3 linked regions of the Saccharomyces cerevisiae S288C genome follow. The gene in region 1 interacts genetically with each later gene. Each region holds a gene or a part of one and is shown in the gene's direction. Other genes may lie near its edges.

Evidence for each region. Genes that interact genetically often act in the same process or in processes that back each other up.
Region 2: mutations in MAK3 (region 1) and AFG3 together harm fitness less than expected from each alone (positive genetic interaction), as found in Saccharomyces cerevisiae (2 studies listed by BioGRID).
Region 3: mutations in MAK3 (region 1) and MEK1 together harm fitness more than expected from each alone (negative genetic interaction), as found in Saccharomyces cerevisiae (3 studies listed by BioGRID).

The regions. Positions count from the first base shown.
Region 1 is NC_001148.4:663,454-665,990, forward strand, and holds MAK3 (peptide alpha-N-acetyltransferase MAK3), read left to right. Parts: upstream 1-1,506; coding exon 1,507-2,037; downstream 2,038-2,537. Other genes in the region: autophagy protein ATG11, read right to left, coding at 1-1,220; NHP6A (high-mobility group nucleosome-binding protein), read right to left, coding at 2,240-2,521; YPR053C (uncharacterized protein), read right to left, coding at 2,335-2,537.
Region 2 is NC_001137.3:189,003-193,376, reverse strand, and holds AFG3 (AAA family ATPase AFG3), read left to right. Parts: upstream 1-1,588; coding exon 1,589-3,874; downstream 3,875-4,374. Other genes in the region: ISC1 (inositol phosphosphingolipid phospholipase), read right to left, coding at 1-580; kinetochore-associated Ndc80 complex subunit SPC25, read left to right, coding at 753-1,418; microtubule-binding protein BIM1, read right to left, coding at 4,066-4,374. UniProt on the Saccharomyces cerevisiae protein: Catalytic component of the m-AAA protease, a protease that plays a key role in proteostasis of inner mitochondrial membrane proteins.
Region 3 is NC_001147.6:994,518-998,405, reverse strand, and holds MEK1 (serine/threonine protein kinase MEK1), read left to right. Parts: upstream 1-1,894; coding exon 1,895-3,388; downstream 3,389-3,888. Other genes in the region: TFIIH complex subunit TFB6, read right to left, coding at 162-1,193; MNE1 (Mne1p), read left to right, coding at 3,551-3,888. UniProt on the Saccharomyces cerevisiae protein: Probable protein kinase required for meiotic recombination.

The DNA.
Region 1 (2,537 bases):
AGACTTTTTTTTAAATCTATTAGTTCTCCTATTTGTGAATACAGCGCTTGTGATATAGTGAAGAGAGTTTTCACTGATTCTTTTTTATCCTTTTCCAACATCACATTCATGCTTTTCAAAAATTCTTGACTATTGAATTCTTCTTCTTCTTTATCAAGTACATTTCTGCTTCTTGTTCGCATTTCTGATACCAGTACCTCAAAGCTCTCTGCCATTTGGTCTTCAAGCTCGAATTTAGATTCATTCGGGGTAAACATTTGCCGCAGTCGATCGATGTTTACTGTTATAATATCTCTAAAACTTGCATTTTCGTCAATTTCCCTCTTAATTTTATTCAGCTTACCATTGATTGAATGATTTAGAATCTTTACAGATTTTTCGTTCTCCAGGAGAGATTCAATATTAATGAACTTTTGTAAAGAATCACCCTCTAAAGCAGTCAACTTACTCAAGGTGTCATTGAAGCATTTTTCCCATTTTGAAGTCATACCATTGTCTACCAGCTGATTTAAAAATTGAACGTTTGAGTTATACAAACTTTCTACATCAAAGCAGTACAGCTTCAAATATTGTGAGCAAACGGTTAAGCCATCAAAAATACGCTTAATATGGGCTATTATGTCTGGTATGAGGCTCTTAAAATAATGTACATCTATTTCTAAAGCGCTTAGCCAACCAAGGTTCGTCGTCAGTAAGCTAGTTACGGAATGGTAATTTAAACGCGAAAGATCTACGTCTGCGTCCTCCAAAGGCGAGGGCATAGGCTTGATCATAATAGTATCGCTACCTTGGTATTGAGATATATGACTATTCTTAATTAAATATTCCAGAGTCTCTGTCAAGTCGTTGGAATTAGGGGAGTTCATGGGATTAGAATCCTTAGACGTTAAAAGATTTGTTGGTGTCGGTTTACTAACAAGTGAGAATAGTCGTCTGTCGTAAACGTAAAAATCATTTAGAGTAAAAGACCTATTAATAAGCAGCTCTTTAAACATCGACGGTTTTAGTTTGTTACCATAAGGTAGTAGAATCAGCAGCTGATCGGGAGGAATCTTCCATTTCCTAGCAATGAACTGTTTAAATTTGTCCAGGGAAACGAAAAAATCAACATTCGTAGTTATACATTCTCCAGATATTGCATTTATGATAGTGGCTGTTGTCTGCAGTGGTGTTATTTCTTGCTGGGTAGGTGCAGTGCTATATTCATCAGCGTCTGCCATGATGTATAAAAGAAAATAAAAGAAGTACTTTCCGAACAACAACAGTACACTAAAATAATCGTTGTTCAAAGGAGGACTACTTTGGTTCTGATTTGAGAAAATGGTACTCAAATAAGGGCATCGCTATTATATAGTTCCATTCCTACCAAGAAACCGGGTAGCCAAAAGCGATAAAAAGGCTCTCCATGGCAAGCCTTATTAAAAATAATAATCATGAAGAACAAAGTTTCACAAGAGATTACAAGATAAAAAAGCCACTACTACAGAAAAGGCGTTGGGTCAGGACATGGAAATAGTGTACAAGCCATTGGACATACGTAACGAAGAGCAGTTTGCTAGTATTAAAAAACTAATAGATGCGGATCTATCAGAGCCGTACTCGATATACGTATATAGGTATTTCTTGAACCAATGGCCCGAGTTAACGTACATTGCCGTTGACAACAAGAGTGGAACGCCTAACATACCCATTGGTTGCATAGTGTGTAAGATGGACCCGCATAGAAACGTGAGACTGAGAGGATATATAGGAATGCTAGCCGTAGAGTCCACATACCGCGGGCATGGCATAGCAAAGAAACTAGTGGAAATTGCCATAGATAAAATGCAAAGGGAACATTGCGATGAGATCATGTTAGAAACAGAGGTGGAAAATTCGGCGGCTCTAAACTTATATGAAGGAATGGGTTTCATCAGAATGAAACGGATGTTCCGCTACTACTTGAATGAAGGGGACGCCTTTAAACTGATATTGCCGTTGACTGAAAAGAGCTGCACTCGGTCTACGTTCCTAATGCATGGCCGGCTGGCCACATAAAAGGAAAAACACTCGATGATGATAAAATATATATTAATAATACAATTTTTTTATTTATTTATTTAATCATATGTATAGATATAGAAAAAGGGCAGTAGAGAAAAGAGGAATAGAAAGGAGAGAGATAATAAAGCAAGTTTCAAAAAGAACAAGAGGAAAAGAAATTAAATCACACAGACAAAAACGCGGGGAGGAAGTATCCCTAAGCCAAAGTGGCGTTATATAACTCCTTTTCGGATTCATATCTCTTCTTATCGGCCTGGGCCTTGGCCTCGTAAGGCTGCTTTTCCTCTGGCGTTAGAGCCTTCCACTTCTCACCCAACTTCTTGCCGACTTGTCCAAATGTGATATCTGGATTTTCAGAACGAACAATATCTCTGTTTTCGTTAGCGAAAAACATGTAGGCGGACAAAGCCCTCTTAGGGGCATTTGGGTCCTTCTTCTTTCTAGTGGTTCTCTTCTTAGGTTCTCTTGGGGTGACCATTGCGACTGTGCTTTAC
Region 2 (4,374 bases), on another chromosome or scaffold:
CGTATGGGGCGTGCATGTGACTGTTCATTATTGCAATGGGGCGGGTTCCTGTGTTCAATACGGTGATTGCTATAGATTTCCCTACGTACCAGTCGCCACGGAACACCGCACTCGGTCTACCGTTTATCGGGAACCGGTAAAGAAAGGTCGACTCTATCGGGACCTTGGACAGTATGGCCAACCCAGGCCCCGTCAGAATACCAGAATGGAACAAACGCTGATACGGATACTTGGAGGCACACGCAGAAGCTAGATACTTCCAGTCTTCCACACACCAGATTTCTTGTAAGGCAATCACGTCGTAATCTTCGTTTTCATTACTATCTCCACCATTGGGCAACAACTCGTCAGATATTGGCGTAAGCATTGAGTGGCCCGCCAATTTATCAGCAATTGCTCTGAGTCTTTCTTTACGGTGTTTGGAGACGTATTTTAACCCCCATGTATTGAAGGTCAGAAACTTTATGGAATACGCTTTACTATTATCGGACATAATTGCGTTGGTCCCGTTCAGTGCTTCAAACTCAGATTGACCATCTTCCTTCCTCTCGTGAACATCTCTGTCTTTTCTGTTGTACATATATCTGCTTTTTTTCCCTTTTTACGCGGAAAGCGCAAATTTCCTCGAAGATTTAAGCCAAACCAAAATAAATCAAACCAAACCAAAACAAAACAAAAACAAAAACAAAAACAGGCTAAGCCGATTCAATTAAAACCGCTCATACGTATACAACACATACACACATACAAGAATGGCCAGCATAGACGCATTTTCGGACCTTGAGCGCCGGATGGACGGGTTCCAAAAGGACGTGGCCCAGGTACTGGCACGTCAGCAAAACCACGCGCGCCAACAGCTGCAACAGTTCCAAGCGGAAATGCGTCAATTACATAACCAACACCAACATCTCATAGATGAACTGCAACGGCTTGCCACCCAGCGCACCGCTCTGCAGCAACAAATACATGCGGCCCAACAAGCTACAAATACCACCAGAGAGCAGTGGAGAAGCTATCACGAGCGTGAATCTGAGTTATCTAGACGGCAGTCGACCTTAGCAGCCCAATCGCGCGAGCTGGACTCGCTGCTGCAACAGCGTGGTAAAGAGTGTGTCCAATTACGCGCACGTTGGGCTGCGCAGTCGGGTAACGATGCCGCAGAGGTCGCACTGTACGAACGGCTGTTGCAGCTTCGTGTACTACCCGGAGCCAGCGATGTGCATGACGTACGTTTCGTATTCGGCGATGATTCACGCTGCTGGATCGAAGTCGCGATGCACGGAGACCACGTGATCGGAAACTCTCACCCGGCGCTGGACCCCAAGAGTCGGGCAACACTTGAGCACGTGCTTACCGTCCAGGGCGACCTCGCGGCATTTTTAGTCGTGGCCCGCGATATGCTTCTGGCATCTTTATAACGCCTTTATACGCATCTGTTCAGTTTATTCTGGGCCTATGATTTAGATGAGGAATAAATTGGTTCTTACTGTCTATACATAACTTTTACAAGGACCCATTCTATATTAAAGGAGATTAACGCAGTCTTCAAATAAAGGCATCATCCACTTATTTTATAATATACTAAGTGATGATGATGTGGCAACGATATGCAAGGGGTGCGCCACGCTCATTGACATCACTCTCATTTGGTAAAGCTAGCCGCATATCAACAGTGAAGCCAGTGCTTCGCTCGCGCATGCCAGTTCACCAGCGTTTGCAGACGTTATCTGGTCTGGCAACCAGAAACACAATACACCGTTCTACCCAAATACGTTCCTTCCATATCTCATGGACAAGGTTAAATGAAAATAGGCCAAACAAAGAGGGTGAGGGCAAGAACAATGGTAATAAAGATAATAATAGCAATAAAGAAGATGGCAAAGACAAAAGAAATGAGTTTGGTTCATTATCAGAATACTTCAGATCTAAGGAATTTGCTAATACGATGTTTTTGACCATCGGATTCACAATTATATTTACTTTGCTCACACCTTCCAGTAACAACTCAGGAGACGACTCTAACCGCGTCTTGACTTTCCAGGATTTCAAAACAAAATACCTGGAGAAGGGTCTTGTGTCCAAGATTTACGTCGTTAATAAGTTTCTCGTAGAGGCCGAATTAGTCAATACAAAGCAAGTTGTATCGTTCACCATTGGTTCAGTAGATATTTTTGAGGAACAGATGGACCAGATCCAGGACCTCTTGAACATTCCTCCTCGGGATCGTATCCCCATCAAATACATTGAGAGATCTTCTCCCTTCACATTTTTGTTCCCCTTCCTGCCCACCATCATTCTGCTTGGTGGCCTTTACTTCATAACCAGAAAAATAAATAGTTCACCACCAAATGCCAATGGTGGTGGTGGAGGAGGCCTCGGCGGCATGTTTAATGTTGGAAAATCCAGAGCAAAGCTCTTCAATAAGGAAACAGACATTAAAATTTCATTTAAAAATGTTGCCGGTTGTGATGAAGCTAAACAGGAAATCATGGAATTTGTTCACTTTTTGAAGAACCCAGGTAAGTACACTAAATTGGGTGCCAAGATTCCACGAGGCGCTATTCTTTCTGGACCCCCAGGTACCGGTAAGACTCTCTTGGCCAAGGCCACCGCAGGTGAGGCGAACGTGCCCTTCTTGTCAGTATCAGGTTCTGAGTTCGTCGAAATGTTCGTTGGGGTGGGTGCTTCACGTGTAAGAGACTTGTTTACTCAAGCAAGGTCTATGGCCCCCTCGATTATCTTTATAGATGAAATTGACGCTATCGGTAAAGAAAGAGGCAAAGGCGGCGCTCTCGGTGGCGCTAACGATGAAAGAGAAGCTACGCTGAATCAATTATTGGTGGAAATGGACGGATTCACTACTTCCGACCAAGTCGTAGTCCTTGCGGGTACAAATAGGCCCGATGTGTTGGATAATGCTTTGATGAGACCGGGAAGGTTCGATAGACATATCCAAATTGATTCTCCTGATGTCAATGGTAGGCAGCAAATATACCTGGTTCACTTGAAAAGACTGAATCTGGATCCCCTTCTTACAGATGATATGAATAATCTTTCTGGGAAATTGGCTACGCTTACTCCAGGTTTTACTGGTGCAGATATCGCTAATGCTTGTAATGAGGCTGCATTAATCGCTGCCAGACATAATGACCCATATATCACTATCCATCACTTTGAGCAAGCCATTGAAAGAGTCATTGCGGGACTAGAGAAGAAAACAAGAGTCCTTTCTAAGGAAGAAAAAAGGTCAGTGGCCTATCATGAGGCAGGACATGCCGTTTGTGGTTGGTTTCTAAAATATGCGGATCCACTTCTGAAAGTAAGCATCATCCCGCGTGGACAAGGTGCTTTAGGCTATGCCCAGTACCTACCACCGGATCAATATTTGATATCTGAGGAGCAATTCAGACATAGAATGATCATGGCTCTTGGTGGCCGTGTTTCTGAGGAGCTACATTTTCCATCGGTGACTAGCGGTGCTCATGATGATTTCAAAAAGGTTACACAGATGGCAAATGCCATGGTTACATCCCTAGGAATGTCACCCAAGATTGGCTACCTGTCGTTTGATCAGAATGATGGAAACTTCAAAGTTAACAAACCCTTCAGTAATAAAACGGCAAGAACCATTGATTTAGAAGTTAAATCTATAGTAGATGATGCACACCGAGCTTGTACAGAATTGCTAACCAAAAATTTGGACAAAGTCGATCTTGTCGCAAAAGAATTGCTACGTAAGGAAGCAATTACTAGAGAAGACATGATTAGATTATTGGGTCCAAGGCCATTCAAGGAAAGGAACGAGGCTTTTGAAAAATATTTGGATCCAAAGAGCAATACCGAACCGCCTGAGGCACCTGCAGCAACAAATTAAAGGGGAAATAAAACGGTGGCTTCTTCATCTCACTTTATATCTTTACCTGATCCCCCTTCCAGGATCCTATCTTATTTTCTCATTCTTTTAGTAATAATATACATGTATATATATATATTGATAACGAGTAATAAAAAAAATAAAAAAAAATAATACATATTCGAAAACAATACTGCTTTTTAGTTCTCAACTTAAAAAGTTTCCTCGTCGATGATCAAGTTGTTGCTCACGCCAACCTCACCTTCGTCGTTCTGCATTATCACATCATGGTTACTACCTTCGTTACCATTGACCTCGCCATTGCTGTTCGCATAGCCGCCCTGATTCGGCACAGTTCCATGTTCACCCAGATTTTTATCATTCAATTCATCCTCACCATCATTCATTTCAAATCCTTCTGCAGTAGCATATAAAATACTTTCCACCTTCTTGACGAACCGTAATAATGCTCCCCCATTTCCATTACCATGGCCGGTGATGGTCTCATCATTAAATTTATA
Region 3 (3,888 bases), on another chromosome or scaffold:
GGGAGGATCATATACCCCATGGTACTGAAATGTATGCTTTATATATATATATATATATATTTATATATTTATGCATGAAAAATGAGGAGTTCGGAAACAGAAGTTTTAAAAGTTACAGATTTATTGTATAAAAGATACACGCCACTGGTTGAATGTAAATGTTAAAATGAATTGGCATGGTCTAAAAATCCCTCGTAAATCTTGCTTAATTCATAATGGTAACCATGGATACCCTGGGATTCCAAAAATATGGGTAGGCGAACTCTTGTTCGTTCCGCGATACCTTTTAACCTCACAATATCAGTCCCATTCAATCCTGCTATGTTCTTGCTGGCTGAAGACGTTTTAGGGACTTCTTTGCAATTATCATTATCATCAGTTAGAATTACAAATATCCTGTCAAGGATGAAGAAGAGTTTGAATAATTTGGATAAAGTGTCATTAATCTCTGAGTCTTCCATATTTTTGAATGTAAATTTTTCAACGTAATCGATGAGATCGTCCGCAATTTTTATTAAATAGGACCCTTGACCAAAATAACTAGAATATCCGCATGTATCTTTTGGGTTTCGGGAATCTGGGCAATGTCTCTTTTCTTCTGATTGAAGTAAATAGTCTGAGTTTGGAACATGGGCAATAGAATACCAAACGAAGTCAACTAAAGTTTTTAAATCCTGCAGCAGCGGAGTAAGACTGGCATAGCCGTTTTTGATATTCAGGCCCCTGGATTGAACAAATTTTCTTTGAATTTGTAAAAGCTGATCATCAACGTAAGAGATGAATTTGGATTGTTGAGACATTGACAATCTTCTCGGGTGTGACGTTCCATTGTGATCATTTGGCAATAATTCACTCAGCTTTGTGGCAGACGAAAAGGGAGAAGACACGTTTATTCTAGGCTGGAAATCGTCAACATCATCGAGCATAGTTACGTCGTTGATTGTGTTGTTAGTTTCATTGTAAACATCATTGAATTCTGGTGTATGATATCTTCTTTTCTTATTACAATTACGCTGCCATATAACGTTGTCTATGTTAGAATTTACGACATCACCTGAGTCTGCACTAATTTCTACATCTGAGTTTGGATCCAAGTTTAAATCATCAATGTCTTTTTCATCTAGATCATTTAAGTTGTTCAAGTCCAGTTGCTCATTCGGTTGAGCATGTAATGGTGTGTTTGGCTCAGACATCAAAATACTGTGTTGAAATCTTTTATTTTTATAATATTTCTTTCCTTACCAGGGCTTGGAGTCTCTACAACAGTTAGCTTACTGTTTATTCTGCCACATTTCCACCCTTTTGTGGGGCTTCTATTTCAAGGACCTTCATTATGGAAACAGGGCGAGGTTGTTTGTTCTTCCTGCATGTTGCGCGCAGTGCGTAAGAAAGCGGGACGTAAGCAGTTTAGCCATTCTAAAAGGGGCATTATCAGAATAAGAAGGCCCTATGAGGTATGATTGTAAAGCAAGTGGTGTAAAATTGTGTGCTACCTACCGTATTAGTAGGAACAATTATGCAAGAGGGGTCCTGTGCAAATAAAAAATATATATCTAGAAAAAGAGTAGGTAGGTCCTTCACAATATTGACTGATAGCGATCTCCTCACTATTTTTCACTTATATGCAGTATATTTGTCTGCTTATCTTTCATTAAGTGGAATCATTTGTAGTTTATTCCTACTTTATGGGTATTTTCCAATCATAAAGCATACCGTGGTAATTTAGCCGGGGAAAAGAAGAATGATGGCGGCTAAATTTCGGCGGCTATTTCATTCATTCAAGTATAAAAGGGAGAGGTTTGACTAATTTTTTACTTGAGCTCCTTCTGGAGTGCTCTTGTACGTTTCAAATTTTATTAAGGACCAAATATACAACAGAAAGAAGAAGAGCGGAATGAGACCGTTGTATAGCTGCAACCTTGCAACCAAAGATGATATTGAGATGGCAGGTGGCGTAGCTCCTGCTCACCTGGAAGTTAATGTAGGCGGCTATAATACAGAGCAGACAATACCTATAGTAAAGCATCAGCTCGTGAAAGTTGGGAGAAATGATAAGGAATGTCAACTCGTTCTAACGAATCCCTCTATCTCCTCTGTTCATTGCGTGTTTTGGTGTGTCTTTTTTGATGAGGATAGTATTCCAATGTTCTACGTTAAAGATTGTTCTCTTAATGGAACGTATTTGAACGGTTTGCTTTTGAAAAGGGACAAAACGTATCTTTTAAAACATTGCGACGTTATTGAATTATCGCAGGGAAGTGAAGAAAATGACATTAAAAAAACACGACTAGTTTTTATGATTAATGATGATTTACAATCTTCTCTGGACCCAAAACTTTTAGATCAAATGGGTTTTCTGAGGGAAGTAGACCAATGGGAAATAACAAATAGAATAGTGGGTAATGGCACTTTCGGTCATGTTCTGATCACGCATAACTCAAAAGAACGTGATGAAGATGTCTGTTATCACCCTGAAAATTATGCTGTGAAGATCATTAAACTAAAACCAAATAAATTCGATAAAGAGGCTCGAATCCTTTTGAGACTGGATCACCCAAATATTATCAAAGTCTACCATACTTTCTGTGACAGGAACAATCACCTTTACATATTCCAGGATCTTATCCCTGGTGGTGATTTGTTTTCTTACCTAGCTAAAGGCGACTGTCTAACTTCCATGTCAGAAACTGAATCGCTATTGATCGTCTTTCAAATTTTGCAAGCTTTAAACTACCTTCATGATCAAGACATTGTTCACCGCGATTTGAAACTAGACAATATTTTGTTATGTACGCCAGAACCGTGCACTAGAATCGTCTTGGCAGACTTTGGTATAGCTAAAGATTTAAATTCCAACAAAGAAAGAATGCATACTGTCGTAGGCACTCCGGAATACTGCGCTCCAGAAGTTGGATTCAGAGCAAACAGAAAAGCATATCAAAGCTTCTCAAGAGCAGCTACGTTAGAGCAACGAGGTTATGACAGTAAATGTGATCTTTGGTCTTTGGGTGTCATTACACACATTATGTTAACAGGGATCTCGCCTTTTTATGGAGATGGTTCTGAGAGGAGTATTATTCAAAATGCAAAAATTGGGAAGCTGAATTTCAAACTGAAGCAGTGGGATATTGTTTCAGATAATGCCAAGAGTTTTGTCAAAGACCTTTTGCAAACTGACGTAGTTAAACGATTAAATAGTAAGCAAGGTCTCAAACATATTTGGATTGCAAAACACTTAAGTCAATTAGAGAGATTATATTACAAAAAGATATTGTGCAATAACGAAGGCCCTAAACTAGAAAGTATAAATTCAGACTGGAAAAGGAAGTTACCCAAAAGTGTTATCATTTCTCAGGCAATACCGAAAAAGAAGAAGGTTTTGGAGTAATCATAGGATTATCTCTTCCTCTTTCAAACTGCGCGTAGTTCAAAATAAAAAGGTATCTGTGTAAAAAAAAAAAAGTAAGTCAATTGTATGATTTTTAAGTAAAAGTTGCCCTTTTCTACTAGAAACGGCGAGAAAAAATGATAGTAGTGTGCCAAGAAGAATATGAAGTTACTTTTTAAAAGATATTCGTCTAGTCATATTGGTAAGCTGATTAAGGACTCTTTAATCACTCCTGAAATACTACCACAGCTAGGGCGACAGCCATCATCGCATAAACGTTTACCAAATAACAAAAGAACTAACTCAATAACTGATAAATGGTTGAAGGATGCGCTAACAAGAAAAGATAAACTGAATGAAGATAAGCTCCAAAATGTAAATTTACGATTAAATGTGGTACTGACTACTCTACAGAAGCTTCGTACATCCGATAATCCTGCTTTGTATTTTGCGTTGTTGAATCGTATTGGCACAGGTCACATAAAATGGCTAAATAAAAG